Linked DNA regions of Tamandua tetradactyla. The protein of the gene in region 1 interacts with the protein of each later gene in a biochemical or structural test. Links are inferred from orthologs where the notes say so. Each region holds a gene or a part of one and is shown in the gene's direction. Other genes may lie near its edges.

Region 1 (15,624 bases):
GCCCATCGAGTCACACAGCCTTGCCACGGGCCCCGCTCGGCCTCTCGGGACTGGCTCAGTGACCTCCCTCCCCACCGCCCTCCACCCAGCAGAGGCCAGAGGAGCCCTCACCCGGGGCTTGGGCTTACTATGTTTGTCCTTTCATGTCCAAGCCTTACTCCCTCAGCGCATGTTCATGGAATGTGTGTTACGTGGGGAGCGCGTTGCTGGGTCCTGAGGACACGTCAGACCCTTTGGGGCTCACCAGCCCAGGGCCTCGCCGTTAACCCCCTTTCTTTCCAGTGCCTCAGCGTTCTCATCTGTACAGTGGGCAGACGGGACTGGAACACCCGAGAGTTCACCCCCCTGGAAGCTTCCTCTCTTCTCGAGTCCTGGTTGCCTTGAGAAAGTCTGCAAACATCTCTCTGACAGCGCACGGGCAACAGAGAATGTTAGAGAGCAGAGCTAAAGACAGACAGACAGGGAGAAGGAGAGAGACAGGTCTCATGTTGCTCCCTACTGAAGATCTAAAACCTTCTCCCTGTTGGGTCCCATGGCGCCATCCCCCACCCATCCTGGTTACAGCCGGTGTCCAAGCCGTGGGGGCCCCCAGCCCTGTGGCTGGAGCCAGGCGCCCGGACGCGAGACCCCAGTGAACAGGGCCTTTGGACGAGGCTCCTTCAGCCAAGGGGCCACTCAGCCGGTGGGGTCTTCACCCAGTTACCAGGGTCCTTTATAGACAGAGTGAAATTCAGAGAGATAGACAGACAGAGGGAGAGAGCGCGCAGGCCACGGGGAGCCCCAGCGCTGATCAGCAGCTAAACGGAAGGGAAGGCAGAGGCCGGGAGACACGCGGTGGACCTACCACGGGACCAGCAAGGCCAAGGCGCCCCGCAGCCCCACACGCCGGGCCACGACGCCAGACTTCGGGCTTCTCCAGTCGCAAGGCCATGAGCCAAAAGATTCCCATTGTGTTAGCCCACCCATCGCCTGGCGGCTGCTTGAGCAGTGAACGGAAACAGCTCTCCCGTCCCTGAGCAGTGGACGGGCGTTACACGGCCGCCTCGGCCTCCTGCTCCACAGCCCCAGGAACTATCTGACTTTTTCCTAACAGACAGCTGCTCGGCTAGCAGCTACAGGGGTTCAGGAGAACCAAACTCTGGCTTCCGTTAGTAAAAATCCATCTTTTCTCCTTTCTGGGAACTTCCGGCAGGTGGGAGGAGTATGGAGAGGCCATGCAGTAGAAAAGGAAGGATTTGGTCACTGGGGGATTTAGGCACGTCACTGTACCTCTCTGACCCTCAGTTTCCTCTTCTGTAAAATGGGAATATTAATAAATGAATTCCTTAGAGGATTAAATTAGGTGAAGTGCTGGACTCGTGGCAAGCCAGTAACAAGTGCTGAGTACTGTTCTTAGCACAAATAAAGGGACATGATGGATTGAGAATAACCTCATTATTCCTTCCTTGACATCCACTCACACATTAGCAGGTGTCGCGTCTCCACTGGCTTGGGAAGGGCTGTGAAGGACCCGTCCTCGCTAAGGAGCGGCCGAGGACCTCCAGCAGCCCACACCACAGACAGGCCTCCCGCTGCTGGCCAGCACGCCCCAGCTCCATGGCCCTCTTCGAAGCCCCCCGGCCTCCCTGAAGACCACAAGGCTCGTGGAACTAGTGGCCGCTGCCCTCTGGGATGGCTGGGACACAGCCGCCTGCGAACTCAGAAGCGCAAAGGAAAGCAGCCAGGGGCCAGGGGCCACTATTCGACTGGCCAGAGATTCCACACCCGGCACTGCCCCAGCTGGCAAAGACAGGGAGTTGGGTGCACCCACCCACTTGGCGAGCAGCTGTGGGTCTGCATGGCCGTGTCCAGAGGCACTGGGAAGTGTAGACCCCACAACTCAGAGACCTGCTGTGAGTGAACCCCTGGAGGGTCCCCCAGACAACCCCAAAGAGGCCTTCCTGGTTTGTAAAAGCGGGAAAATGGGAACATCCTGAATGCTCCCCCGCAGAGGGGGCTGGTGAAGGGGGAATACTGGGCGTCAGCTAAAAGGGAGGAAGCACCTGAACGTGTGAATGTGAGCTGATGTCCCAATTTTGGGAATTATATACCTGAATGTGGTGAGAAGGTGGCATATATGTGGCCAGAATAAAAATTATAAAACAAAACAACCACAGGACTGGACGACACCTACCCTGAGCCACAGCGTAAACCAGGGGCTGCAGTTAGTGGTACAACTATACCAACAGCCTCCCATCGGGGGTAGCGAAGGTACCACCCTCTGCAACATGCTGCAGGTGGGGCAGGAATGTGAGAACTCTGTATTTTCTTGCACAATCTTTCTGCAAACCCACAACTTCTCTAATTATAAAAACACACAGTAAAACATCACCACCTTACAAACTCCAGTGTGACATTCGCTGCAGCCAAGGATGACTGAGGTGCTCTAAAGCTGTCAAGGGAAAGGTTGTTGGGGGACAAGTCACTCACAATCCCCAAAGAGTCGCCCCACCGGTAGCGAAGGGGTCCGTGCTCCACTGACGGGACTCGGGTCACCCCGCAGCGAGAGGCCACGCGGAGCAGGGGTGGTCGCTGTGCCTCTGGGCGCGGCTCACTAGCCCGTGACGTCACCGTCCTTTCTCCAGGACTGTTGCACCCGAAGCCACCACGAGCCGTCGCCTTCGCGTTCGGTTTCCAGGAAATGGCCGAGAAAGGTCCCGGGGGCCACCGGTCAGGGGTCCTGGTGTGGGGCGGCTGTGAGACAGTGGCCAAGCTTCTGCAGGGTCGACGCCAAACAAACAAAACAAGAATAAAGAAAAGAAAAAGAGGGGCTTGTTCTAAAATGAAAAAAGAAAACAACCCACCACGACTCCAGGCCGTAATGGTCAAACCCGATGTGTGACCGTTTCCTTCACTCTGTTGGAAGAATCAGCCACAGAAGACTTCGTTAGACGGCGGGGGTGACGCTGTGAGCGCGGCCTGTGCAGGGGCCCGGCCTCCCCCCAGCTCGGGCCGCAGGGGCTCTCCAGGTTCTCTGCCGAAAGGCAGCGAGCCCAGCTCCAGGGGAACTTCACGCGAGCAGTTGTTGAATCCTTTCTTTTTAAAATCTTTAAGTTTTTCTCAAGCATAACAACATACGAACATGAACATTCTTACCACACGGTCATTCCTTCTTGGTGTATGATCGATAGCTCACAACCTCACCGTGTATTCATCCCCACATCACCTCTCAGAACATGGGCATGCTGACGCTTTTCTAAAACATGTTTTTATTGAGAAATCTTCACCCCCACACAGGGCACACTTGGTGTACGATCAGCGGCTCGCAATGTCGCCACGCAGTTGTGCATTCATCACCATGACCATTTTTTAGAACATGTGCATCACCCCGGAAAAGGAAATAAAAAGGAAAAAGAACTCACACGCCCCGTTCTCCTAGTTGTCAAATCTTGTTGGAAGTGCTGTGGGTGTGCATTGTAGTTTACTTTCGGTCTTACATTCACGTTTAGGGGCGTTTTAGTGTCCCAGCTGCTAACAAATACCACACGCGGGGTGGGCTTAACGTCAGGGGTTTCCCGGCTCACGGCCACTTCCCCCGAGGGCCTCCCACCCTGGACTCCTTGGGTTTCCATCATGCGACAACACCCCGGGTGCCCCTTTCTCTCCAGGCCCTGTCCAGCCTCTGCTGCCCCAGGGCTTCTCTTTTCTGAGCCCCATTTCCTTCACCTGGGGGCACCCCAGCCGGGGGTGGGGCCCAGTCAACCCCCAACGTGGGGGAGGTTAAAAATAAAAAAGGAACCTGCCCTTCCCCGGAAAGGCTGGGGCTTTCATTGAAAAGGAGCGCCGTTTGTCTAGGAAGCAAAGTTGGCTCAACTAATGGCCTCTAGTGTTTCTGAGAACTTTGTCCAAACCGGGGGATTTGCAGGAACGAAGGACATTCAGTGTAAGAGACGGAGCCAATGTGTGTAAATTGCAATAATGAAAATTGGGGCTTTCACTGCATTTCTAAGAAATACCCTTTTTTTGGACACTTTTGCTTTTGTCTTGCTCTGGCGGGTGGCGGGAGAAGTGTCCCCAGCGAGGTCCCAAGGGCCTGCGAGGGGCGGCGAGCGGCCCTGACAGAAACTCTCACTGCCCAGATGCCACATATAGAACAGGTTGAGGAACTTAGGAGAAGCCATTTCACAGCTGTCCCTGTTTAAATCTGAGCTGCTCACTGGCAAACACCGGCCAAAAGCCTCCCTCCCCAGGACGAGAAACCCCGCGTCAGTCAGAAGGTAAAACACGTGTGGTGAGCAGACAAAGGTCGAGAACAGTCGCTGCAGCGGGGCAGGGGGTGAGAACAGTCGCTGCAGCGGGCAGGGCTGCAGAAGGCTCTGCTGTCACCACTGTCTCTGCACTTTAAGAGCACGTTGAAACAGACAGACGATCGGCTGTGTGTGCCAGGAAAGAAAGGAAGAGGCTGAACACAGCGTTCAGTGCACAGAGGGCCATGGCTGTGTGAGAAAGGGGGTGGGGCAAGGCAAAGCAGATAATGCGGTTACTCAGGAAGGCTCCCAAATGCCTGGGCTTGCCGGACAGCGCGGGGACAAGCTCTGCCGATGGCCAGGGCCTCTGCGTAGGGACTGGGTAATCTCAGCTGGAGAGAAATGTACTTTTCCTTCTGTTCCCTTTTTTCATTTTTTTCTCACCACGAGCACATTTGTTTGGGCAGACGTACATATGCACAGGTGTCAGCTCCGAAAGCCTGGTGGTTTTATTCTGGGCCCCAGATTCCTGCTACCTTGACTGTGAGACGTAAACATGGAATCCTGACTCTTCCACCCGGGACGTGACCCTCAGGGGTGAAAGTTTCCCTGACAACGTGGGGCGGGACTCCCGAGGATGAGCCTGGCCCTGGCACCGTGGGATGGGCAACGCCTTCCTGACCCAAAGGGGGAAAGAAATGTAATAAACTAAGGCATCAGTGGCCAAAAGAAATAAAGTCGACTCGACAGGCTGCTCTGGAGGCTGCCGTCACGCAAGCCTCAGTTAGATAGTGCTGATTCCCATGTCAGCCAAACCCCAACCACCATCACTCCTGTTGACTCTTAAGAACACCTAGGGCTCGAACTGAGACTCTGTAGAGGTTTCATCTCTAGGTTTGCCTCCCTGAAACATATATTCCCAGAGGATTCTTGGATCAGATGACTCCTGAAACCCAGAGGGACCAGCCTCTCCAGAATTATCAATTAGTTCCATCCCCCTCTCCTTCAGTAGACATCCCTTCTCAACATGAAAAAGTCACAACAGACATTGCCCAAAGATCCCTGTAGATTGGGAGAAGGATCAGAGGAGACAAGAGGAGGTATAACAGAGAAAATGGGATTTAACAGATGGAGTATGGCTGCTGAATTACTATATTGATATTCCTTCCAGCCTCCAGGTTCTGGAGCAGCGAGAAGGAAAAACCTGAGATGGTGGAGTGGTAGCCCATGACAAACTCTGGGATCTGTTCTGTAACTACTTGTTGAAGTGTGCTTTGAAAAGTATTTCTTTCTTTACTTTGAGTTTATGTCATTTTTCACAATGAACAATGTTAAAAAATTAGGACCCCGGGTCCTCTGGAGAAAACCCAGAAAGGGCTGCAGAGTGAGGCTTGGGGGGCTCAGAACCCTCCCCTGCTCCGAGGGACCCCACGTGTGCAGGTCCAGGGGCTCACCGGGCCACCCCGCAGTGACACCCCCACATCGTGTGGCCCTTGGGGCTGGTGGGGGCTGGGGTGCTTCCTCCAGGTTATTCTGGGGGCTTGGCGTGGCCCCCCCCGGAGATGCAGCGACACCCCCACCCCCCGCCGAGGCCGCAGCTGGCTTCTGTCCAGTTCATTAATATCCAATATGGAGAGAAAGAGGTGGACATAGGATGAATGCACTTATGCCAAGTGCAGGCACCGTGCGTCTCTGGCAAGGGGCCGGAGGGGTGGCTACCTCCGGGTGGGGTGGGGCGCTTTCTACTGCCTGGAAGGGCCTGAGGGAGCCTTCTGGGGTGCACCTGGCTCGTCTGGGTCCCCAAGGCAGCAGCTCCGAGGGTGGAAGCACGCATGGGGTTTCACTGCATGTAAATTGCACCTCACATCAAAGAAAACGAAACAGTAGGTCAAGTTCCTAACCTCTAAGACAGGTTTGGACAGAAGGGTGACGAAGGAGCGCTGCCCTTCCATTCTCAGCCACCCCAAAAGTTGCGCTGGGTTTCAGGGAGCAGGGGAATCAGAGACATAACCAGGGCCTCACATCCACGGCCAGCTGGCCTCTGAGAAGGGCGCCAGTGCGGCCTCTTCATCAAAGGGTGCTGGGAACTGTGTCCGCACGAGAGAAGGGAGACACCCGTCCCGCAGCGCATTCAAAGGTTGACTCGGGGCGTCCTGCACTTTGGTTACAATCCTCACGGCTTTGGGACTCGAAATATTCATGAAAAAGCATGACCCATTCCGTGGGATCGCAGCCACACAACAATGCATGCTCAGCCGTGCGCGACACAGAAGGGGCTAGGAGGAGAGGCCTAGCTGTGAATTCGGAGGATTCTGGATGAGTTTTGCGTTCTTTCCTTCCTGTGCTTTTCTGATTTCTATACTGCACAATTAACTTTAAAAAAATTTTTTAAATGTTATTTTTCAAACCAAAATGAAAAGGAAAGAACTCAAAATGGATCAAAGACGTAAATATAAAAACCAAGACTATACAATTCCTGGAGGAAAACATCGGGAAGCATGTTCGAGACCACATGCAGGGCAGTGCTTTCCTAGAATTTATACCCAAAGTACAACCAACAAAACAAGAAATAGGGGGCGGGCCACGGTGGCTCCGCAGGTAAGAATGCTTGCCTGCCATGCCCAAGGACCCGGGTTCGATTCCCGGTGCCTGCCCATGTAAAAAAAAAAACAAACAAAAAATAGGTAAACGTGACTTCATCAATTAAAAACTTTTGAGGATCCAAGGACTTTATCAAAAAAGTAAAAAGGCAACCTACAGATTGAAGGAAAAATATTTGGCAACTATATGTATCTGATAAGGGCTTAATATCTAGAATATATAAAGAACTCTGACAACTCAAGAAAGACAAACAACCCAAATAAAATGGGCAAAAAATTTCCATAAAAATTTCTCCAAAGAAGATATATAAATGGCTAGTAAGCTCATGAGAAGATGCCTCACATCTTTAGCCATCAGAGAGATGCAAATAAAACCACAAGATAGCCTTTCATACCTACTAAAATGGTTACTTTAAAAAAAAAAGGAAAATGACAAGTGTGGGAGAGGATGTGGAGAGACAGGAACCCGAGGCACTGTTGCGGGGTGTAAAAGAGTGCAGCTTCCGTGGAAAACAGTTCGGTGGTTCCTCGGAAAGTCAAGTATCGAGTTCCATATGACCTGGCAATTCCGCTTCTAGGAGTGAACCCAAAAGAACTGAAAGCAGGGGCTCAAACAGGTATTTTCACACGGAAATCCACAGTGGCCTTCTTCGCAGTTGGAACCCACATGCCCCTCAACCGATGAACGGCTAAACAAAGGGCGGTGCAGATGTACAGCAGGATATTATTAGCTGTGAGAAGGAAGGAAGTTCTGATACATGGATGGACCTTTAAGGCATGTTGAGTGAAAAAACTCAGGTACAAAAGGACAAATAAGCAAATTCATAGAGGCCGAAATGATGATTCAAGTTACTAGTCACAGGGGCCGGGATGGGGAAAGGGGAGTTACGCTTGGCTGGCGTGGAGTTTTCTGTTTGGGGTGATGAAAGAGTTTTGATAATGGATGATAGTGATGGAGGCACAACTTTGTGAATTTAATTAACACCCCTGAATTGTATCATTGAACGTGGATAAAATGGGAAATTTTATGCTATTTGTTACCAGAATAAAAGCTTTAAAAACAAACAAGCAAAAAGAAATAACATCACGAGATTATTGCACAGCAGCTCTTTGTCAAAATGTGTCATGTCTGTGTAATTTAAATATAAATTAAATTTTGAGCCCCTCAAAACAATGTTTAATTCCCAGGTGGTGTTTAATTCTACTCCGCATAGAATTTAGAAGACAGTACTTTTTATGTGTCCACATCTTGTTACCTGAGGCCAGCGCATGGGCGAGAGGAGAGAGGGGCAGGCCACCCGCCCGCCCCCAGGGGGCACAGATGGATGATTTCTGCTTCCTTCTAGCTTTTGTGGGAAGGTTGCTAAGATTTGGAGAAAAGGAGCAGGTAGGGCAAATTGCCTTTACCTGTCGGATCGGCCTGTTTTGGCTGCAGAATAAAAATTGTACCTGGAAGTACGTGGGATGTGTTAGAGTAAGACTGGAGATTTCAGAGTTAAGAAGGTTACAACAGTGTAGTAAGAGCTTTCTGTCCTGGCTCTGTTTATTGGGAACTGACTCCAGGCCAAGGACTCATGCTAAGAACTTTATTGGGTTAACTCACTTCCTTCTCATCACCGTGAGGACAAGAAAATGGAGGCCCAGAGCGGGTAAGGAAACTGCCCTTGGCCACCAGCCGGTAAGCAGCAGAGCCAAGATTCAAACCCCGTCTGCCTGTCTCTGGGTTTGTCCTCTCCAGCGCTTTCATAGGGTTAGAGGCAGCCCAGAGAGTGGCACTGACCTTGGTGGGGGCAGTCAGGGAGGGCTTCCCAGAGGAGGTGACCCCTCCACCTAGCCTGGAAGAAGGAGGAGGAGGAGGCGACGAAGCAGACATGGGGAAGGGTTGAGTTCAGGACAGAGTTTACTCTACATCCCAGGCATGAGCAGGGCCTTGGCTCCCTGCTTGCACATAGTAGGTGCTCAGGCGCAGATGGGGTGGGATTCCAGGGGCACCGTGGGAGGGGGCGGAAGGAGCCCCAGCTGGGCTGCTCTGGGCCTGGTAGCGCAGGCGCGGGGCAGGCGGGGGCTGCTGATTTACATCTCATGGGTGGGGGAAAACCCAGACAGGGCTACCGAGGCACCAGCCACCCCACGGCCAGACCCGCGTCCCGAGGGATGAGCCTCGCCGCGCGCTGTGAGTACCTGGGTGGGTGCGGGCAGCCTGACCCTACCCCGGCCCTGCCTGCTGGGAGCCCAGACCCTGGGAGCCGGGGCGGGGGGGGGGAGCAGGCAGTCCAGGGAAGGGGGTCGAGGCCGGACTGGACGTGGCCCTTCTCAACGCTTCATTTTAAAGCTGCAGCTGCAAAGAGCCAGCAGGGAGCGGGAAAGAAGCCCGCAGACGCCCCCAGCTTCTGTAATGGCCTGTGTCCAGCCAGCTGTCCATCACCGGGCCCCCCATTCCCCTCTCGTCGCCCCGGCATTACTTTAAAGCTAACGAACAGCGCGTCATTTGGTGAGGGTTTACTCAGGGTGTGTCTCCCAAACACAAGGGCCCAAAAAACCGGACTCACCGTCGTGCCACCCACTTTCCTTCATGCCGCTAGACGCCGGGCAGCTCCCGGGCGGTCCTGGCTGCCTTATAAATCTAGTCCCGCTCATTCACTGAAACGGGGGTCTGCATAGAGCCCACCTTTGGTTACTTTTTTTTTTCTTCAGATCCTTTATAAAAACAACAACAACAAAACGTTGGTAAAATTTGTCATAAATTTCTATGTGTCTTCAAATGTCCCATTTTGACCACCTTCAAGTGTGCGATTCGGTCGCATTAATTTCAAGCACAGCATCGTGCTTTCGTTTTAGTTGGAGACAGTTCCCGCTCCTTTTTTTGTATTTTGCCTTGCTCCTTCTCTGGTGAAGAAACTGGGTCCCATGGAATTTTTTCAGGGCGGGCTGTATGGGCTGATTTGAAGATGCAATTTTGCTGGGAGTGTAAGTAACTAACACGGGCTGTGCCCAAGGCCCGGGGCTGGTGGGGCCTGGGGCTGCCCAGCACAGCCTCCAGCTGCTCTCGGCCACCCTCTCTCCCCCACCTCGGGAGGCACGTGTCCCTTCGCTGACCCCCTGTGTGTCCAGCGGCCGTGCCCCCACACATTTCTGAGAGCTGGACAGGGTAGCGAGTAGGGATGGCTCGGCTGGCACCATAGGGCAGGGACCAGCCCAGGGCCACGCTGGTGGGGGCGAAGCCACGTGTGCAGGATGGTCAGCCGCGACTCCCGGCAGGGCCCAGGGGACCTGCTTTGCGCTCCCCTGCTCGCAGACCCACCCTGGGGCCTGGAACAAGCTCCCTCCCCTGCTGGGCCTCCACTTCCTCCACCTTAAAATGAAGGGCCTCTGGCCTGCCAGAGGGTCCCCCAACCAGAAAGGGCTTGGTACCTGCCAAAGCACCCCTTGAAGAGTCACAAGCAAAGGCTTTGAGAAGGCCTGCAGTCAAAAAAAAAAAAGGCCTTGATTCTCTTCAGCGCAGCACTTTTCAGCCTAAGCTGGCAGGGGAGCTGTTTTTGTGGGTCACTGTGACGAAGCCCAGGCAGTTTGGGGAAACGGGGCAGCTCCTTTGAGACCCGGCCCTTGCCTCTTGGCTCCTCTCTGCTCTCTGTGGCCCCGGAGACTCTCCGCTGCTTCATCCTGGCTGGACCCTGGGGCCCAGCCCAGCCCCCAGCCCCGGCGAGTGGAAGCGCGTTCTCCCCTGGCCCCTTTACCTCTCCCGGGCTTCTTTCTCCAGCCTCTCCCCAGCTGGGCCCTCTTTGGGGGTGGATGATGGTTCTGGGGTTTTCGGGGTTTAGGTGGTGGTAGAGAGGAAGCAGGGACGACCTTCCCGCCCACAGCCGCCCCGGGCTGTGTGTGTGTGTGTGTGTGTGTGTGTGTGTGTGCATGCGCGTGCATGTGCATGCGTGTGTGTGTGCATGCATGTGTGTGCACGTGTGTGTGTCAGAGAGAGTGAGACGCCCTCCCTGCCACTCCCCCTTCAGGTGGGAGGGGAGCAGGGTCTCTTTCACTTTATCCATTCCTGGTGATTTTTTTGAGGGGCATTTATTCATTAAAAAAAAAAATTTTTTGTATGCTGTATGACAGGGTCACATTTCATTCTTTTTCCATGTGAATAATCCGTTATTGCGGCACCATTTGTTGACTTTTTATTTGTTTTTTCTTTGTTTCGGTTGTTTGTTTTTGGGGGAAGTGCATAGACCGGTAATCGAACCCGGGTCCCTCACATGGCAGGTGAGAGCTCCGCCACTGAACCACCCTTACACCCCCTCATTTATTCAGTTTTAAACATTATTTATTGTGAGATCTAGCATATACACAGGAAAAGCAATGCATTTTAAAGTACATTTCAACAAGCGGTTATACAACAGATTTCTAAGTGTAGTATGGGTTGCAGTTCCACAATTTCAGGTTTTCCCTTCTAGCTCCTCCTGGTGATTTCTAAACAGGTGGCATACCACGTGATTTGAAAACCAGAAAGTATAGGAAGAATACAGAAAAAACTCCTCCTTTCTTTTTGTTCCCCATCCCCAGTTCCTGCCTCCCCTGACGGCTTTATTGGGATATAATTTCACCCCATGAAGTTCTCCTGCTTAAGGTGTGTGGCTAAATGCTTTCAGTGCAGTGACAGAGGTGAACTGCCACTCACCATAATTCAGTTTTAGGGCATTTTTATCCCCCACCCCCCACCCTGAGGAAATACCAGTCTCCTTTCCGTCTCTGCAGTTTTGCCAGTTCTGGGCATTTCATATAAGTGGAACCTACAATACCTGGTGCTTTGTGGCTGCTTCTTTCACTAAGCATAATGTTTTCCAGGTACATCCAGGTTACAGAAAATATCAGTACGTCATTCCTTTCTGTGACCAAATAAGCTTCACTGTGTGGTTAGAACACATTTTCTTTATCCATTATCTGTTAATGGACACGGTGAGTTGTTGCCACTTCTGGGCTCTTGTGGACAATGCTTCCGTGAGCATTGGTGTCCAGGTTTTGTGTGGCCCACGTTTTCCTTTCTCCTGGGTAAACAGAGACCCAAGTGGAATTGTTGGTTCCTGTGGCAACTGTGTTTAACATTTTGAGAAACTGCCAAATGTTTTTCAAAGGGGCTGCACCGTTTTATAATCCCAAAAGCTACATATGAGGGTTCCAGTTTCTCCACATCCTCACCAACACTCGTTGTCCATCTTTCTCATCAGCGCCATCCTAATGGACGTGAGGTGGTTTTGATTGGTATTTCCCTAACGACTAATGAGGTTGAGCATCGTTTAGTGTGTTTATTAGCCATTCACATATTTCTATTCAAAGCCTTCCCCCACTTTTACATTGGGTTATTTGTCCTTTTATTATTGAGTTTTAAGTGCTCTTTCTATACCCTTATCAGCTACTTGATTTGCAAATTGCTTTCTTGATGGTGTCCTTTGAAACACAAAACGTTTAAATTTTCATAAAATACAATTTATCAATCTTTCTTTTTACTGTTTGTGCATTTGGTGTCATTAACCCCAAATCACAGAGATTCACTCCTGTGTTTTCTTATAAGAGTTCTGCAGTTTTAGCTCTAACATTTAGGTCTTCGATCATTTTGGGTTGATTTTTGTGTGTGCCGTGGAGTTAAGTGCCCAGCATCGGTCTTTCGCATGTGGAAATCCAGTTATGGGCACTCGGCATTGTTTACTGACAGGACTGTTCCTTTCTCCATTGACTTGTTTTGGCACCTGGTAGAAAATCAGTGGCCATAAATGGACTCTCCAAGCTCTTAACTCTACTCCCTTGTCTGTATTTCTGTCCTTACGCCGGCACCACACTGCCCTGAGTGCCACAGCTTTGCAGTAAGTTTTGAAAGCAGGAAGTGTGAGTTCTCCAACTTTGTTCTTTTTCAAGATTGTTTTGGCTATTTTTGGTTGTCTTGCATTTTCAAGTGAATTTTAGGAACAACTTGTTAAATTGCAAACAAGCCAGCTGAGATTTTGATTGGGATTGTGTTGAATTTGTGGTTAGATCACCTCAAGTAGTATTGCCATTTTAACAACAGTAAGTCTTCCAATCCACGTCTCTCCACTTATTTGGCTCTTCTTTAATTTCTTCCGTCAGTGTTTTGTAGTTTTCAATGTGCGAGCCGTGCCCTTCTTGTATTTTGTTTAGACCACTGTTTTGGTTTCCTGTGTTTCATTACAGGGTTTCTTCATGCAAATGCCAACAATTAAAAATAAAGATTTTATAACGTCCCTCCTTCTTTGCAAAAAACAGAGCCCATGCATGCCTTGTTCTTGTTTTCCGTTTAATATGGTTGCATTTGTCTCCATAGCTGTGTGTGAAGAACTGGCTCATTCCTTCTTTTTATAGCTGCATAATAACCTAATGTGTGAGTATACTACACTTCACTCAGTTGGGTTGCTCCCAATCTTTTGCTGTTAAATACGTTGCTCCAGTGAATTTCTCATTTTGCCCTCCTGGCTAAATCCCTCGACTTTCTGGTTTGCTTGTTTTATGTGGTCTGTTTTGTCAGCCTTTTCTTTTATGGCTTCGGATTTGGGGTCATAGCTGGAAAGACCTTCATGCTCCAGCCTTATAAAGAAACTATTGAATGGTTCCTCTAGAACTTTCACAATTCTCCTTCCCACGTAAATCTTTGTGCTGTTTTTTATCTAAGAGAAATTATTCTGTATGCTTGTTTCTGGCTAATACACCTTGTCTGTCCCAACAGTCCTTCCTCCTAAGTTTCTAAAGCAGAGGCCAGGATTTTTGCTCCCCCTCTGATGTCCCCCCCCACTCGCACCCCCGAGCCAAGGTGCCCAGGATTAACTTCCACCTGAGGGGGGGCAGGCTGAGCGGGGCACAAGGAAAGTCACCTGTTACCTGTTTTTGGTACAAGGCAGGAAGGTGGGGGGCCTTTTCATTCACCAAGCCTTCACGGGGCATGTCTGTGTGCAAGGTGGCGGACCACTCACAAGCATTTAATCGGCACTGGCAGTATACCCGGTGCTCTGAAGGCACTGCCTTCTGGGGTAAGGCTCTGCAAGGAGGAGGTGTGGCTGCAGCCTATGGTGTCACATTACAGATCAAGGAGCAACCCAGGGAGCGAGTGCTTGGGGCTCGTGACCAGCGAGGCAGGCCCCGAGGAGGGGCCCCCGAGACGCCCCCGGGACAGGTGTCCTTGGAGAATGGCGACTTCAGCCCTAGCTCAGGTCCTGGGAGCACTTCCCAGCTGGCGCTCTAAGTTGGTGCTATGCCACTATGAATAGTTATTAATGCCATGATCATCATGTGTCAGTATAAAGTGACTGTTCGTAATCCATCACGTGCTCTATTGTTTCCATCAGAGCCGCGACTCTCTTTGTCAGCCTTGCGTCCCATCCGTGCTGGGCCTCCACACCCTTGAGGGGCTGGCGAGGGAAAGCTTACGATGCCTGTTGTACAGATGAGGGGCCTCAGGTGGGCAGCTCTGAGCCTTCCCCCAGGCAACCCGGGTGGCCCCAGCGCTGGGCCTCCCACCATGAGCCCTGGGTGCTCCCATGTGCTCCCACCGCACGGCTGCCGGCAGGTCTCCACATGGCGGGAAGGCAGCAGGGAACCGAGGCAGCCGCTGGCGGGCTCCCTCAGGACTTCATTAAGTCCTTGATGTGCATCCTGCGTGGGTGGGGTCACAGCCCCGCACAGCTCTCAGAGTGAGTCTGGGTCCCCCGTTCTGAGGGTTTTCTTTTCACTTTTTGATAAGCGTCCTTCGATGCACAAAAGTTTTGAATTCTGATGAGGTCTATTTTATCCCTTCTTGTCTTTTGCCAATCGTGCTTTAGGTATCACCTAAGGAGCCAGTGACAAAATGATGAGGATTTACCTCTGTGTTTTCCTATAAGAGTTTTCGATTCAGCTCTTATATGTAGGTCGTGATTCGTTTTGAATTATTATTATTTTTGTATATGGTGTGAGGTAGGGGTTCAATTTCATTCTGTTGATTGTTAAGGCCCAGTTTTCCCAGTGCAGAGACTATCCTTTCCCCATCTAACGGTTTTGGCACCTTGTCAAAAACAAATTGGCCGTAGATGAATGGAATTATTTCCGGACTCCCAATGATTCCACTGGTCTGCTCTCTCATCCTCTGCCAGCACCACCCTGTTCTTTGTTCTGTTTTGTTTTACTTTAGTAATTCATTAATTGGCGAAGCAGTTAATGACATTTTCTAGTACGAACAATATTTACGATAACCGTTGACTTGAGATACCCATGCTTTGCATCAAATTTAGATGTTTGTTGAAAATCCCTGCATCAGAGAATGTATTCATTTTAGAATGTCATTCCTGAGGCGAAATTTCAGCATTACAATATTAATGCACATATGTGTGATTATTTCAGTGGACATAAAACATCTTTTGATGGATGCTCAGCTATTAGGTCAGGAGATGTGATGGTCAGTACTGCTAATGAAAGACTGGAGGTAGGGAAGAGGGAAAGGGTCACGTGAGGTGGGACAGAAACGTGCAGTGGATGTGAACACATGGGAAATTATTCTCCTGAAACCCTGGGAAGTGACTGAATACCGTAAAATTAGTCTGTTGCACGTTATAGCAAGATATTTAAAACAAAATTCTCGTCTCCAGCAACTCCAATTAATGTGCAGCCTGCCAGGCAGTTTTGACCGCTGCGCCTTCGCAGTAAGTTTTGAAATCATGAACTACGCGTCCTCTAGTTTTGTTTTTCTTTTTCAGTATTGTTTTGGCCACTGGGAGCCTCTGACCATTTCATATGAGTTTGACAATCAGCATTTCCATTTGAAAAAAAAA
Region 2 (15,551 bases), on another chromosome or scaffold:
TGGACATTTCTATAGACTCGTTTAATTGGGACTTTTTTTGGCCTTAGAACGATAAACTAGCAACTTATTAAGTTCCCTTTTTAAAAGCCATTCCGTTTCTGGTATATTGCATTCTGGCAGCTAGCAAACTAGAACATATTCTTTCCAGAAAACAACATAATTTTTCTTATATGTAATAATTATGTGCATTAAAATATTTTCCATGCTCTGAACACTTTGGAATGGCAGTTTTACCTAGATATACTTAAGGTACATCCCCATATATAGAAAAACTATGTTTCCATATTTGAGTGGTTCAAATCCTTAAGAAAAACATCTCTTTCCTCAAAGAAAGACATATAGGAGTGTTCCCCCAAACCTGCTAATCCTTCATAGTACTAATTAGCCAGGACTTGTTAATTAAGTTTTTGAATATTTTTTGAAGTTGTCATTGTAAGAAGAAAGTTGTCAAACAGGGAATGTTTGTTTTGTACTACAATTTTGTCCGTCGAATAAACTTCTAATTTATATTCAAGCATATCCTCACATTATCTTATCTTTCTACTTATGAGTGTATGGGACAATTTTATCAATCTCAAGAAACATTGTATCTCTGTAAATTTGGTATTCATGTATTACAACAGAATGTTTTACATTTGAGTTGAGAAAAAGAAATACATTTAAAAAACTATAAATTATTGGGCCACATGACTCAGCAGGCAGGAATGCTCGCCGGCCATGCCAGAGGACCCGGGTTCGATTCCCGGTGCCTGCCCATGTAAAAAACATAAATAAATAACTATCAATTACTGATAGTAATTAAATACTGACAGTAAAAATTGAATATATATAAATTTCACTCTAGTCTCTGTGGCTCAGGTATAACTGCTTTTTTCCTGAGAATAAACCCATAGTGTGGTTATTCAGTGAAAATGAATATGCTAATTATTTAACAGAATTTCAGTTAAATTATTGCCAAACCATTTCTCCTGCAGGAAACAGTTTCTTGATTTATGGAGTAATAACTTTCTTTTGTTTCCCTTGAATAAGAAATTCAAGAGGGCATGAATGCCACTTCATATCTACTTGTCTTAAGAGAAAATTTTTTTTGGGGGGGTTGCATGGTCCAGGAATCGAATCCAGGTCTCCCACATGAAAGGCGAGCGTTCTATCACTGAACCACCTGTGCACCCAATAAATTTAAACTTTATAATCCCTGCAGAGGACATGCAAATCGCTGTGCCTGCTTTTCATGTCAGGGTGAAGCCATGTAGGTGAAGCCCCACAGTTGCCTTTCAGTGGAAGAAGCACAAGCCTATTCTATACATAGGACTGTCCACTATTTGAGCCAAAAATAGGTATTTATTTATTTATTTTTAAACTTTTTTTATTAATTAAAAAAAATTAACAAACAAAACATTAAGATATCATTCCATTCTACATAAGGTATTTATTATTAAGGTCCCTGAATATAGTTTGGCTAGTGACTCTAGAGATGGTCTGGTATGAAGATTTCTGCTCAATAGAGAAGTGCAGGCAGAGGTGATTCCCATTACGATCAAATTAGTTCCCTGTTCTTTTAGGTTTTTTCCTAGAGAATATGAAGAGGATTGGTCAGTCAAAAGAGAAAGAATATTGATGTACACAAAACAAGCAAACCAGTGACTCCAGTTGGTCATAAGTGAGAAGTAGAGAGTACTTGGTTTCTAGCCTAAAATCCTGAATACCTTTCTAGTTTTAGCTCTATATGCATTTAGGTAATATTAATATCTTTAAATATATATGACTTGAATGAATCTTAACTACTTTCACCAGAAGAGTTTAATAAAACCCCACACAGTTATTTTTTATCACAAAATTGTCCGGTATGCACCACCTTGATTGACCTGGAAACAAGGAGAAAGAATGGCATTATGTGATATCTGATCCAAAAGAGTTTGCACACATACTTGTTCATGAGCAAGCAGAGAGCAGCTTATTTGGGGTGCCAAAGTATTATTCTGTCATAAAGTAAGCTCTCTTGAGCTTGCAGAAGCAAAGGAAAAAAAAAATCTCAATAGTTAAGCAAAAACAATTACCTGACCACATCATGTGACAGTAAGATAAGGAAATAGGTACTCATTGGAAAGTAATTTGCTGACACCCAGGAAAGGTAAAGATGTGTCCACTCTAGTTCAGGTGTTTACTTTGGAAACCCTTGTAGATGTTACAAAGAGACATGAACAAAAATGTCTATTGCAGCATTGCTTGTAATAATGAAAAGATGGAAGCATATTAAATGTAGTTCCCACCTACAATAGAATGAAATAGACAGTTTTAAATGAATGCACTAGAACTATGGGTAAATTTCAGAAACATAACCCTGAAAAAGGGAATTCCAATTATAGAACAATAATGTGATTAATTTCTAATATTGTAAAGGCCTTGTCATAAGTACTTTACAAATATTGTGATACAAGCCTCCCTACAATTCTGAAAGATAGTTACTATTATTGTCTTATTTTACAGGTGGGGAAAATGAATCACAGAAAGGTTAAGAAATTTGCTTAAGGCAATTAAGTGGTAGAGCCAGGATTTGAACCCTGGAGGCCTGACCGAAGAGTCCTTATCTTCTCCTTGTACTACTTCTGTAAGTGTCTTTTCTTACAGTTGCTTAGAAACATAGAGATGAGATACAGTTAATGTCCAGTTGTCTGGGGAGTACTGCCTCTGTTCCAGTCCAGCCCAGCCCTGAGACCAAAGGACACGCTAGACAGAGTTTGAGTAGGGGCTTATGGACAGGAGGAAGCTCTTCCTCAAAGGCAGCTGGTTGGGAGATGAAAGTCTGCAGTGTGCCCAAAGCCAAAAGAGAAACAAGAGAAAGAAGGGCGCAATTTATAAGGTTTAACAGTCTCATGAGATTTGGTTACAATGGAGTTTCAGCAGACTCTTAGTGAGGTTTGATTGTTACGAGAGGGGGGTTTGACAATCTGTGACCTTTAAAGGCTGTCCAGGTCATACAGGTAGCTGTGTGACTTTCTCACAAAATGGAGGAGGGGGTGAGGCCCGGGCCCTGAGCCCTTACAGTCCATCTCCACGCAGCTGACCACTTTGACCAAGGTACAGACATTGCGTTCATTGACAGTATAAGGCAATAGAATATAAGGAGTTCCCTCCACAGAGATGACTCCATGAACTGAGGCCAACATGGCTAAGAAAGGGAATTAAGTCATTTTACTGACAATTAATGAAATTATCTGTGGTTTCATCCTAAATGAGAAAATTCTCTTCAGATTTTTCTGATGTGCTGAATTCTGCCAGGCCAGCAGGGTATCTACACAGTCTAGTTCCCAGGGGTCACAGTCCATGGCAGGCCGGTGGCACCTAACAGTGGCAGTTCAGTGCACACTCAGCATTGAGGTCTACTGTGCATGTAGGTCACTGCAGAAGCCTTTTGCAGAGAGGTATTTGCTACGACATTAAGTACCAAAAGAATACAGCTAAATTTCCATTAGTAGACAAATACCACACCATTTCTCCTTGCAATTGCAGGGAGCTTTTTAGAGTCAAATTCACAGTTAGCCTAGGCATAATAAATATCCACAGAGTCATACATACTGTGCTTTGGGGCATGAGGGGTCCTGGGTTGGTTACATGTACAACTGTTGACATTTTGTGTATAAACTGTGCTCTAATACTTATATTTTGGGCAAGCCCTGAACCCCAGGGACATAGGACTCCCAACCAACATGACTGCACTGACCAGGTCCATGGCCAATCAACTTATTTTCCCCAATTTCTAATGCTTGTGGCACAGGCAAGAGCAAGTTATGTTCATTGCCTCATTGTGGCTGTAGTACTTCTGGTTCTTCTATCTAAATTTGCAGCACCTGCATGGGCTCCTCCATTACCAATACAATAGGAGTGGGAGCAGCTGCTCAGGGCCATATTTGAGGCTGGTGAAGACCGGATACAACCTGCATGTCCTCTGCTGCAGAGATTGCCTATCATCTTTTAATTGCTCTTTAAAAAACCCATCATCCTTTCAATTAACCCTGCTACTGTGGGATTGTAAAGCGAATGAAATGTCCATAAGATGTCATGCTCAGTACTCAGGCTTGGGTTAGTTGACCAGGAACGGGAGTCCCCCATCACTGTCCACATGTGTGAGGGACCCCAAATAATGCACTGAGCTTTTCTAAATTTTCTAAAGCTATATATTGTCACTCTTTGCTTAGATTTCCCTACTGGTGAGGCCAACAGTCCAGGGGCTGTATCTATGTCTATGAAGACATATTTTGAACCTTCAGTTAAAGAAAGGGGCCCAATCTGATTTACCTGCCACCTGGTAACTGGAACCCTCCTGTGGCTAATGTGGTGGAGATGATGAAGAAGCAACTTTGGGCATCACAGCGAAGAGGAGGGGCAGGCATCTACCACTTCTTTCTGTTGTTGTCTAAAGATGGGCAGCTGGAATTGCTGTGCCAGTCTCCACAGAGTCTAGTACCTTTGGTGTCCACTCTTTCTATGCAACCATTCAACAGCCTTGTGCGATGTTGGCTTTAGGCTACAAATTTTTGCTAAACTGTCTGCTTCAATATTGCCAGGTAAAGAATCAGTGTTATCGGCAGAGACATAAAACACAGTACTTTTCCCTTATGGCAAGTACTCCAAATATCTTCCCACATTTCTTTTCCCTATAAGGGATGGCAGACGACAGGCCAGTGCTCTTGCTACCATGTGGCTGTCCTCACTGTCAGGCCCTGATACACTGCCCAATTGTCAGCACAGATAGTTCATGCATCTCCTGGCTTGTGAACAATGACTATTCATACAGCCCTTAATTCAGCCACTGGCTGTTTTTCATAGTCCCAGCTTCCCTCCATATGGTATCCATACTAGGTTGCACAGCTACTCCCTCCAGGCAGCAGACCGCCTTTGTGCTGATCCATTAGATTTAGGAATACTGCCATATCCATCAATGGTGGTCATAGAGACAGCCACTTCAGGAGGATCAGCAGGGAGAGGCAAGTGTTGTTCTTCCACATAAGAAACGAACTAGTCTCAGGATATGCATTTCTGCACTTAAGATGCTTTTGTTGAGAATGCTGTGCTGTAGCAGATAGGCTTTTCATTTCATTAGCGTGCTCAACTGTACACTGCTAGAGTGAAACTTAGTGAGAGTGTTCCGTATCCACCCCTATATGAGGATGGCTCTTCTTTATTTCACAGGACATTTCTGAGTTGATCCTTCAATTTACAGAAGGCATTATAGGCAGCACACAGTTGTTTTCTTAAGGGACAGGACCACAGTTCAGTTCTTTAACTCACTTTGCCTGTTACCTTTGCTATAAGTCCCACCCAAAGCTAATATTAGTAGTAGCCATTTCTGATTCACAAGGCATATCTGTGTCCACTCCACACAAAGTCTGAGCCAGTCTGACGGCTCATCTGACTTTTTCAAAAGTGCTGGGAGGTGTCTCATTCCCAAGGATAGCTTTTCCTAATCAAAACAAATACGGGTTTTAACTTTTGTGCTGAGTGAGGAAGAAAGGTTTCCAATATTCCAATAATCCCAAGGAAGCCACTAGTTGTTTTGGCATATGCAGCATATGAAAACATTGTACCTCATCAATTACTACTAAAGGAATAAATTTTGCCTTTTCCAGTTGTACAATACTCAAGATTTTACAGGCAGCCAAGGCATTGCAGAATACCATGATCAATTGTCCATCTCTAACTGTTAAGATGAAATAACAATAAGGCTTTTATTTTAATTCTGGAAAAGAATTACTGGTTAACATGACATCATCACATTATCAATATAATGAAATAGAGTTACATTTTTCCATTTAGCCAAATCCTTTTGCTAAGAGCTCATGGCAGATGGCCAGGCTATGTGAATAGCCATGTGGGACTACAATGACATTCCTTTGTTCTCCTTCCCAGGTGAAGATGAAAATGGATTGACTGACCTTACTTAAGGGAATACTAAAGAATTAAGTCCTAATTCCTTGTAAGTATGAGGCAAACTTTGGAAACACAGCATACAAAGGTGGAGTCACTCCACCCTTTGCCTCCCAAATTTCTTCTTTTTCCTCCTTTTCATTATCAGATAAACAATCTATGGTATCCCAGTCAGGGGAAGTCAGGATATGCCCCCTTACTCTAGCATGCCAAGATGCTAATATTTCTAACTCTTATCTACAAGACATTCAATGAATTGCATTCAATGCATCATCTCAATCTGCTGATTTCTCCAGTCCATTGCCATGGCCCCCACAGACCTGTGGATTTCTCTGACTTCCCCAAGACAGCCTGCCGTAGCTGGCCACACTGCATATGATGATCAACTGACTGCAACACAGTCAAGCAAGTGAATGACTAAAGAAGCAGTCCACTTTGGGATTAACCCCACAGATCCCCCCTTCCCCAGACTCATACTTTCTATGGCTGGCAGCTCTTTAGTCTCCTGGTTGACTCAACAAATGTTTCAGCTCTGAGTTTAATTAGGAACTTACAGACAGGAGGAAGATCTTCCCCAATGGCAAATGGTGGGGAATTGAGAGTCTGCACTCTGCCCAAAGTCAAGAGAGAAAAAGAGAGAGAGGGGTGCCCAGGAATGGCTTATGAAGTTTAACAGTCTTGCAAGATTTGGTTACAATGGAGTTTCAGCAGATGCTCCTGAGATTATATTAGGGGAGGGGTCAGACATCCTTTGACCTTTAAGGTCTGTTTAGGTCATATGGGTGGCTATGTGACTTGCTGTCAAAATAGAGGTGGAGGCAGAACCTGGGCCCTGGGTCTTTACAGCCTAGCTCAGGGCTTGGCAAGCACTCAGTAATATTTGTTGATTGGTAAATCAATATTTTGTTGCTGGGCTGGTTGCAAAGCAGCCAGAGCCCAGGATGTGGCTAAGAGTCAGTGGTCAAAGACAGGTAGGATTAAAATGGGTGGAATAGTCTGGGCAGCAACAATAAAGAGCTCTTGAAACAGAACTAGCTCTTATTTGAGTCAGGACAGGTTCCATAATCTTCAGTTTTGGCAGTCAAACTAATATGTGTGGCTAGTAGGTAAACTACCTGAGGGTAAGAACACTTGATGTGTTCCATGAGGCGTGGAAATAAGGCCAGCTTCTCCTCAACATGGTAGCAGGATGAGTTGGAATTTGAGGCTTCAGAAGCCAAATCAGGAAAGACAGGAAACAGACTCATCAGGAGGGGTTGATTACCTATCCAATGAGTCTGAACAGGAAAAAAGGTTGTGTACATTTCCTTTAGAAATGCATTCGCCCCCAATAGCCTTCCTCATACCTAATCTAAACTTGTCTCTAAAATTTAGTCACTTTCTTTTTAATACGTTGTTAAAATAATAACACCCAGCTGACTTCCATTCCTCCTTTGAGGATTCCTTTTTAAAATTTCATACTTGATAACTGTTAATAAATCACAGCTGCAACTGAGGACAAGTCAATGCTAAGGCACTTAGCTTATCTGACCTTCACATTAATTATTTTTATTACACCAGCAGGAACATTTTATGTTCTCGTTCCACTTCCCTACAAAGTCATTTGGCCTCAACTAGACACTGTTCTCTAATAATGCCTAAGGGTGAGCTCTTAACCATCTACATTATCTTAAAGCTATCTCTTGCACATGCTAATCAAAATTCAAAGTTTAGTCAGTGGATTTAAGGGGCGAATTTGTATATGATTGTTTTGAGATGCCATTAAAATTCTTACAAAAACTGAAAGTGAAATGAGGAAGACTGATTGAGCAATCCAATAGAAGGGCGAATGCCAGTAAAACCTATTGTACAGAGGGGCAGGGATGCAGAAGGGAAGAAATAAGAAAATTCAGGAGATCTCTCCTGACAGAGAGAGCCAAGCTCTGTGATGTGTTAAATGTAGGACATCAACAAACACAGATAACAGGAAATGATCCATTCCTTGTGGTCACTTATTTTAAAGGCCCTAACCTTCAAAGTTCAAGTAGTGAAATGGTTGACTCCACAGAAAAGGAGCAGTTACGACTTTCTTCTTGCCTTAAGAAAAGAGAAGAAATGAAACTTAAGGAGTTGGTGTCTATTCGCCCCCAGAAGAAAAGCTCCTCTGCCTGGTTCTCCAAAGATGGAAAGCTCCTGTCAGTGACCTTGCTTCTGACGCTGCTGTCCCTCTCCCTCACAGTGGTGTCTTTCTACAGAGTGGCCACCCTGCAAGCAGAGCTGGAGAGCCTCCGGGCGGAACTGCGATATTACCAAGCTGAGCAGCTGCCAGTCTCTCCTAAGGCAGAAGCTGGAGCCCCCACGGCAGCTTTACCGGAAACTCCAGCTTTCACCACGGGACTTGAAGTGAGTTATGGGCAGCTGCAGTTCCAGATACAATCCTTCCTAACCTGCTGCTTCTCCCCCATGCCAGCTGTCTTTTCAATAACTTGGGATTTTTCTGCCAACAGGGGATCCTTGCACCACCAGTTCCTGGAGAAAGTAACTCCAGTCAGAGTAGCAGGAGTAAACGTGGTATTCAGAGTCCAGAAGACACAGGTAAGTTTGGGGGACAAGAGCATTCAGAATTTAGCATTCAGTATCAAAGGATTACAGTGTTCACAGGTTTAGAAAATAGCAGCAACTTTAGGGGAATAGAGGTGAAATAATCTCTTGAAACCTCTTAAATAGAGACTATGAAATTTACCATCAAAATCAGACTTGGCTTTTTAGCAAAACCCTAGCAGTGGCAGTGATAAATTCAATGGGCTCCACAGCATGTTTTGGCCTCCAATGAGTTCACTTCATCTCACTACAGAATTAGACTTTGTCTACATGGGTCATAGAAAGTCATTAAAGACAAGTGTTTCCCAAGGGTGAATTTTGTGAAACCAAATGAAGATCCTAGAGTGGGAGGCTATGCTTTGCACACATATGCAGGCTTGTGAATGCGCATGCACACCCATTGATTTTCAAGTTTTTTTTTTTAGTTATGGCTTTCCAGGAATTCCATACGTTTATAATCTTCTAATAGTTTTTTCATGATTTCTGTTTTTCGTCATGTTCCACTTATTCCACAGAATTTCATAAATTCATAAAATTTTAGAGATGATAGGGATTATCAAAATAATCAATTCTAGTTCCTTCATTTCACAGATGAAGAACAGTATTTGTTTTGTATTTATTAATATTATAATCTAGGATGTTGTCCACAAATCCTTGATACTATCTTCCTTTTATATTGAAAGAGCATTTTTGAGCACCATAATATTTCATATTTTCTCTTCTGAGAAAAGATGTGAGACCTATTCAGTGGTAGGGTAGGTGCTTTTCTATAATCCACACGCACATGTGTATACACACACACAAAGTGCTTGGCCTACAAATCCATTTATTTTTCAACTATATACCTTATTTATGAAAAACCTTCTCCCCTATTTTATAAAACCATAACTTTGTTATCTGATTTTCATATCTTTATGCCAATTATCAGAAACACTTAGACTTAATAATTTTTAAACCAGGAAACAGGCATAATATTACTGCTTTAATATATCAGTTATTTTCATCTGTTTTCTACAATAATTAAAAATAGTGCTGCATATCTATTATTTTATATTTTTGTTTTTTCTTATTATACAATCTGTATTTACCCTATTTCTAAGTAATTCTCATACATGTACATTAATCTGCTATTCTACTATTTTCAACACAATTATTTCCATTTTTTGCTACAATACAGTACAATCTTGCTAAAATTTTACAGTGATCTTTTTTGTTTCTGAGTCATTAACTGCTTTATACAAATTCTGTATAGTGGAATTTCTGAATTAAATAAAATGGAAATCCTTATGACCCTTGTTATATACTGCTATGTTGCTTTCAGAATGAGTATAAATATATTTAACAAGCAAGGTGGTGTGTCTGTTTCTCTATAGTCTTACAAGCATTTTAGCTTTTAAAATCTATTTTGGCTAGATTAGTAACAGTGAAATAGTATCTCAATTTTATTTTAATTTGCTGTTTGTTTGCAAATAAAAATGAACTTCTTTCTCCATATTTTACTTCTAATTTTATCATGTTAATTTTTATCTATAACTTCTACCATTTGTCGTCCTAATTATTTATAATTTGGAATAAACTATATATTAGATGTATTAATTTTATCAAAGTTTTCATAATATTTTGCTGCTTTAAAAATTATACAGAGATTTTATATGTCTATACTTTAATGTAATAATATTTTCCTTTTATTTTTCTAATACATCAAAGCTGAAAGAATATTCTTTCAGGATCTCTTAAGTAGTCTATTCTACTTTCTGCTACTTTGAATTTCTTATAATTTAGTATTTTAGTTTAGATTTTAACTCATTAACCCTTCTGGTGCCTATTGTGATGTATCTTGACATGCTTGTTTTAAGTTCTTCATTTCTTCTTTTTTTTTCCTTCCTAAACTGTTGCTAAATAGCTCAACCAAATTTATTAAATAATTTTTAACTCCTTTTGTGTTAGGAAAGCTTACTGTGTTTTTTTAAGTTCCTCAAAATAGTCAAATCTATTTACAGACTCTCTGTTTTTGTTTCATTGATTTACTCTTCTATTTATTTGCATTAAATGAACTATTTGAAGTAATTTGTGTTATAATGGGCTCCAGTATCTCGTAGTCAGGATTCCTAGGTCTTCTTCAACCTTATCTGATACTATCCTCCTACCTCTAAATATTACATTCTAAAGATGATATAAGGCTTATCATGGCAGATTTAATAAGAAAAAAATAGTAGAGTAAGAAAACAAAACTCCCAGAGTCCCTTTTCCTCCAAATCCTCTACTAATATTTTTGTTTCATTCTAACAAATTTATATATTTTTATGTATTTGTGCATTATGGCATATAACAGTTGTATGCTGATGCAAAATTTTCCCCCAATAATTAGCAATTTGTAAAAAGTTTGGACAATGCCAGAAAGCTTTAACAAAATGAAAAAACAAAACACTCTAACTTCCAGAGCCCAGTTACAACCACTATTGTCATTTTCATGGTTTTCCTTAGGTTTTTTACAAAGCCTTTCTTCTATTGTTAACACACATGTATATACATTTATAATGGTGATTTTTAAATGAAATCAATACAGGAATATTCATACATTCAAAGTATTAATAGGTGTTACCTGTCATTCCTTATCAGTGAAAATGACTTGAATGATACTCTCCTTTGTGGGAGAAAATTTTCTGCTTCTTTAGAAGTAATATACTTCTAAAGTATATTTAGAAGTAAATACACAAGAATTTTGTCTGAAACTCAATGATTTTTTTCCCTGCTTATTAGTGTCTTTTTTGAAATTGGGAAATTTCTAAATGTTTTTCTTTTATTTTTGTATCCATTCAAATCCTTATTTATTCTCAAAGACACAAAAAACTTGGGTGGTTGCTATTACCTTCAAAATGTTCTTTTATGTTCTTATGTGGTCATTTTTCCATATATGTTTTAAGGTCATTGGTTTTTTTTAATGAAAACTATAAATAACTGAAGAAAGAAATGAATTTTTACACTATGTAGTTTATATATTCAGAAATATGTTAAGTAATATCTTTATTAAAATCTAATTTTAAATTTCCCAAAAAATTGTTCAGATTTCTTTTTATAGGTTTCCCTGTTCTTTCATTAAACTCATTTAAAAAGTATTTTGACTTTGGTTGCTATTACGGAGTCTTAGCATTTTCAAGTAGCTTAAAAAATTATTAAAAAATTTATAAAACTTTAAATAAATGATATAATATGTTACCTTATGTGTATTTTAAAGCCATGCCAACTTATTTAATGGCTTTATACTTAACAGAATCATAGTATTGTCCTAGACTTTTTTTTCCCTAAAATTCTCTGGTTTCTATAAATAATGGTATCAGTTTATAATTATGTCAACAATTTACATAGCTAAATAAAGCAGAATGTTACTTTTTCAACCCTGCAAATTCAACCCAAATCTCAATTTTATCTTGGGTAAATTAAATTTGTATTTGAATTCTAGCATGTTAAGACAGAAAACCTTTTCCTGACCTCCTAGCACACAGCAAACACTTCTCTCTTTTATTGCACCTATTACATACCACTAAGGAAGGCGACCTCTTCATCTGTAGATGTCCAGTCTGTACAATTAATTACATAGTAGAGAATTCCTGTGGTCTGGGTCCTAATTCTTTTTCTGTTATTTCTCTCCTGAAACAGGCATTCACTAAGCATTCTACAAATGTTTATTGATCAGTTTCAGACTCAATTTGAAGCAAAATAGAATGATTTGTGGGATGATCTAACATCATTTTTATTTTGGATTTTCCCTTATTTCTTCGTTTTCCAGTTTTGATCAGAGGCTATCCTATGAAATATTTTAAGGTGACATTTAAAACAACTAATTAAAAGTGTGACAAAATAAAGTATCAGTGGCTGAGAGTCGAGAGGTTGTCCTGGAGGTTGTTCTTACGCATTATATAGATATCTCCTTTTTAGTGTATGGTGTATTAGAGTGGCTAGAGGGAAGTACCTGAAGCTGTAGAGCTGTGTTCCAGTAGCCATGTTTCTTGAAGATGATTGTATAATAATATAGGTTTTGCAGTGTGACTGTGTGATTGTGAAAACCTTGTGTCTGATGCTCCTTTTAGCTATAGTATGGATAGATGACTAAAAAATATGGATAAGAAATAAACAAATAATAGGAGGAACAAAGGTTAAAATAAATTGAGTAGCTTGAAATACTAGTGATCAATGAGAGGGAGGGGTAAGGGGTATGGCATGTATGAGTGTTTTCTTTTCTCTTATTTCTTTTGCTGGAGAGATGCAAATGCTCAAGAAAATGATCATGGTAATGAATATACAACTATGTGATAATATTGTGAGCACTTGATTGTAACCATTTCAAGAACGTTTGTACGTGTGTTTGTTGTTTACAATAAAAGAATTTTTTTTAAAAAAAAGGTGAGCTGGACCATCAGGTAGGGGGTGCAGGGAGATGGAAGAGTTTGGGGGAGAAATGAGTCACTTGTAGGGTACCTTCCTTCTGGCTCCCTTTGTTCGACAGGTAGAGGCATAATTTGGACACCTGAAATGTCATATAGAAAATCCCATATACAGAAACTTCTTTACCTACAATTCCATGGATTTCTGGTTTTATTTAAAGTTTTAAATTTTAATTGAAGTGCTATTCCTATTTTGAAAAGTGCACATGGCTTAAATCTATGGTTCACTGCGTATTTACAAACTGAACAGTAAATGAAGGGACACATGATGGTCAACCCTTCAAGTCTTACCAAGGGTAAGCGCTGCTTTTATTTAATTTTAAATTTAGCACTTTGGCTCCAGTTCACTTTTTCTGAATAATTTTGTGGTTCAAATTAAAATGCTAGGACACTTGATGTATTTCATAACTTCATTCTGATAATAGTATTACAAACAGAAATGTGGGGAAAACCAGGATCAAAGAACTGCCAAACAGTCCATATTAGATAAAAATTCACTTTTAACTCCTAAGTGTCTTTAAAGATATTCCCAAGTTATTTTTAATAACTTAGGTAATATGCCTTTTAAAGACAGTTTTACATATAAAAATTCCTTTACAAATAAACTTATGATGTATTTTCGAACACTCACTTAAATATTATTCTATTCATTTTATGAACCTAAAGATAGGCATCATTAGTATATCAATAAAGTTAATTCTTTCAAATGGATTTCTATTGAGCTAAAATATTTTATCAATAAAATCATGTGATCTTTTGTAGCTTCCCCTTGCTACTCAATAGGGAAATTTTAAGCTTTTAGAATCCATGTTTTATAGTTTATAGAAAGACAAAACTTACCTTATATTAATATGAATAATTTTAGTATTCATGTCTCAACTTCTATAGCAAAATAAGGGTGAAAACATCAACAATTCAAAGAAATATAAAAGCAGAAGTGAAAAAAATTGCTCATATTTTATCTTCCAAATAATTATTGTAAGATTTTGACCAATCTCATTTATTTTTCTCCATTTTAAAATACTTTTTTTAAAAATTTTGGTATTAGTTTAGAACCACAGAAATGCTGCAAAGATAATACAGAGATCCCATTATCCCTCATACAGATACCTTTGTCACAACTCAGAAACCACCATTAAGACATTACTTTCAATGAAATTCCAGATTTTATTCGTATTTCCACTGAAGTCCTTTTCATGTTCCAGATCCATCCAGGATCTCACATGCATTTAACATTTCCTTTTTAATCAGAATTTTGAATACAGGGCACATAAACTAACTCCTGATATTGTAACTCACGTATTTTCCAGCGATAAACCTTCTAAATGTTTAACAATGAAAGCATCAATACTATTTTTGAGTCTTTGTTGAAATTTATAGACCAAATCCTTGACAAGGAAAGCTGGGATGTCTGAGAAGACTGTGCCATTGAAATTTCTGGCTCAGGTGTAACTCACAAGGTTTTGACTGTTGAAAGGATATAATGCAGAACTCAGCCATCCAATCTGTAACAAAATTAGACTAACCTGAGCCTCTTACCCAGTAAGGGTGTGTTCCTTCCTGGAATAGAACCAGCTGGCTGATGTCATGGTAATCTTTCACCAGATTCTTCCCTAAGTGTTATTTTTCTTTTCCCTTACATCAATACTGAGACTTTTTCAGTGTTGCAAGAGCTGGCGTCTGTTCAATTTCAAATAAAGTACTTAAAATTGAAGTTAGTGACTTGGCAACCAAATATTTGAACCCTGTTCTTGTGAAGCTTGAAGTTTTGGGAAACTGAAGAGCCAGGAAACAAGTCAATCAGTGTAGCCAAAAATGATATTGTCTCTATTCAGTGTAGTCAACTAGTATTTAATGAGCATCTTCTAGGTTCCAGGGACTGTTCTAGTTGTTTGATATTCATCAGAAACAAAATAGATAAAAGTTTCCTGTCCATTTGTAGATTACATTATATCAAGGCAGAGAGACACAGAAAATAAATATAGGCATAATTAATAAGTAAAATATAACACTAGAAAATGGCAAATCTCTTGGAAAAAAAAGAAAAGTTAGGGCAGGGTTAAATGAATCATGAGTGTGAAGGGTGAAGAAGGGAAAAGGAATAAGTGTAAATTTGAAATAGGTGGCCAGGTTATCTTTTCTATCTTCTCCTTGAAAACTCATCAATTTTTATACTTTCTATTTTTTTTGAAATTTGTAGGCATGGGTAGGTATTTTTAAAATAAATTCATATGTTGTTCTCATTGCTAATTGCCTATGAATGGAGAAGATTGACATTAACATTTATTTATTCTGTTTATGGATCGGCACCTACTTAAAAGAACCTCACTGGGCAGTTCAGTTTTCTTGTGGTGGGATTTTCCTTTAAAGAGCATTTCCATTTCTGAAGTATTAGAGAAGAAACAGGGTTCCATCAAAGTAGACTTAACCGCCACTGTTTGTGCAAAGATCTGTGCTAGGCACTGCAGCATATCCAGAGAAGGGAGCAAGAAACTAACAGTTACTGGATACATTTTACACAAACGCTCTGTACCAGGTCCTGTGGTTTGATGAAATCATTTACCCTTTCAACAGCCCTATGAGTTCTATGCTATTGCATTCATT

The links.
Region 2: the proteins of TNFRSF13B (region 1) and TNFSF13B form a complex in vitro, tested with the Homo sapiens proteins (3 studies listed by BioGRID and IntAct, with this or other methods). The link is inferred for Tamandua tetradactyla from reciprocal best matches to the Homo sapiens genes TNFRSF13B and TNFSF13B.

The regions. Positions count from the first base shown.
Region 1 is NC_135332.1:520,444-536,067, reverse strand, and holds the start of TNFRSF13B (tumor necrosis factor receptor superfamily member 13B), read left to right. Parts: upstream 1-8,943; 5' UTR 8,944-8,980; coding exon 8,981-8,999; intron 9,000-15,624. UniProt on the Homo sapiens protein: Receptor for TNFSF13/APRIL and TNFSF13B/TALL1/BAFF/BLYS that binds both ligands with similar high affinity. Mediates calcineurin-dependent activation of NF-AT, as well as activation of NF-kappa-B and AP-1.
Region 2 is NC_135330.1:177,861,433-177,876,983, forward strand, and holds the start of TNFSF13B (tumor necrosis factor ligand superfamily member 13B), read left to right. Parts: upstream 1-7,757; 5' UTR 7,758-7,956; coding exon 7,957-8,307; intron 8,308-8,411; coding exon 8,412-8,499; intron 8,500-15,551. UniProt on the Homo sapiens protein: Cytokine that binds to TNFRSF13B/TACI and TNFRSF17/BCMA. TNFSF13/APRIL binds to the same 2 receptors. Together, they form a 2 ligands -2 receptors pathway involved in the stimulation of B- and T-cell function and the regulation of humoral immunity.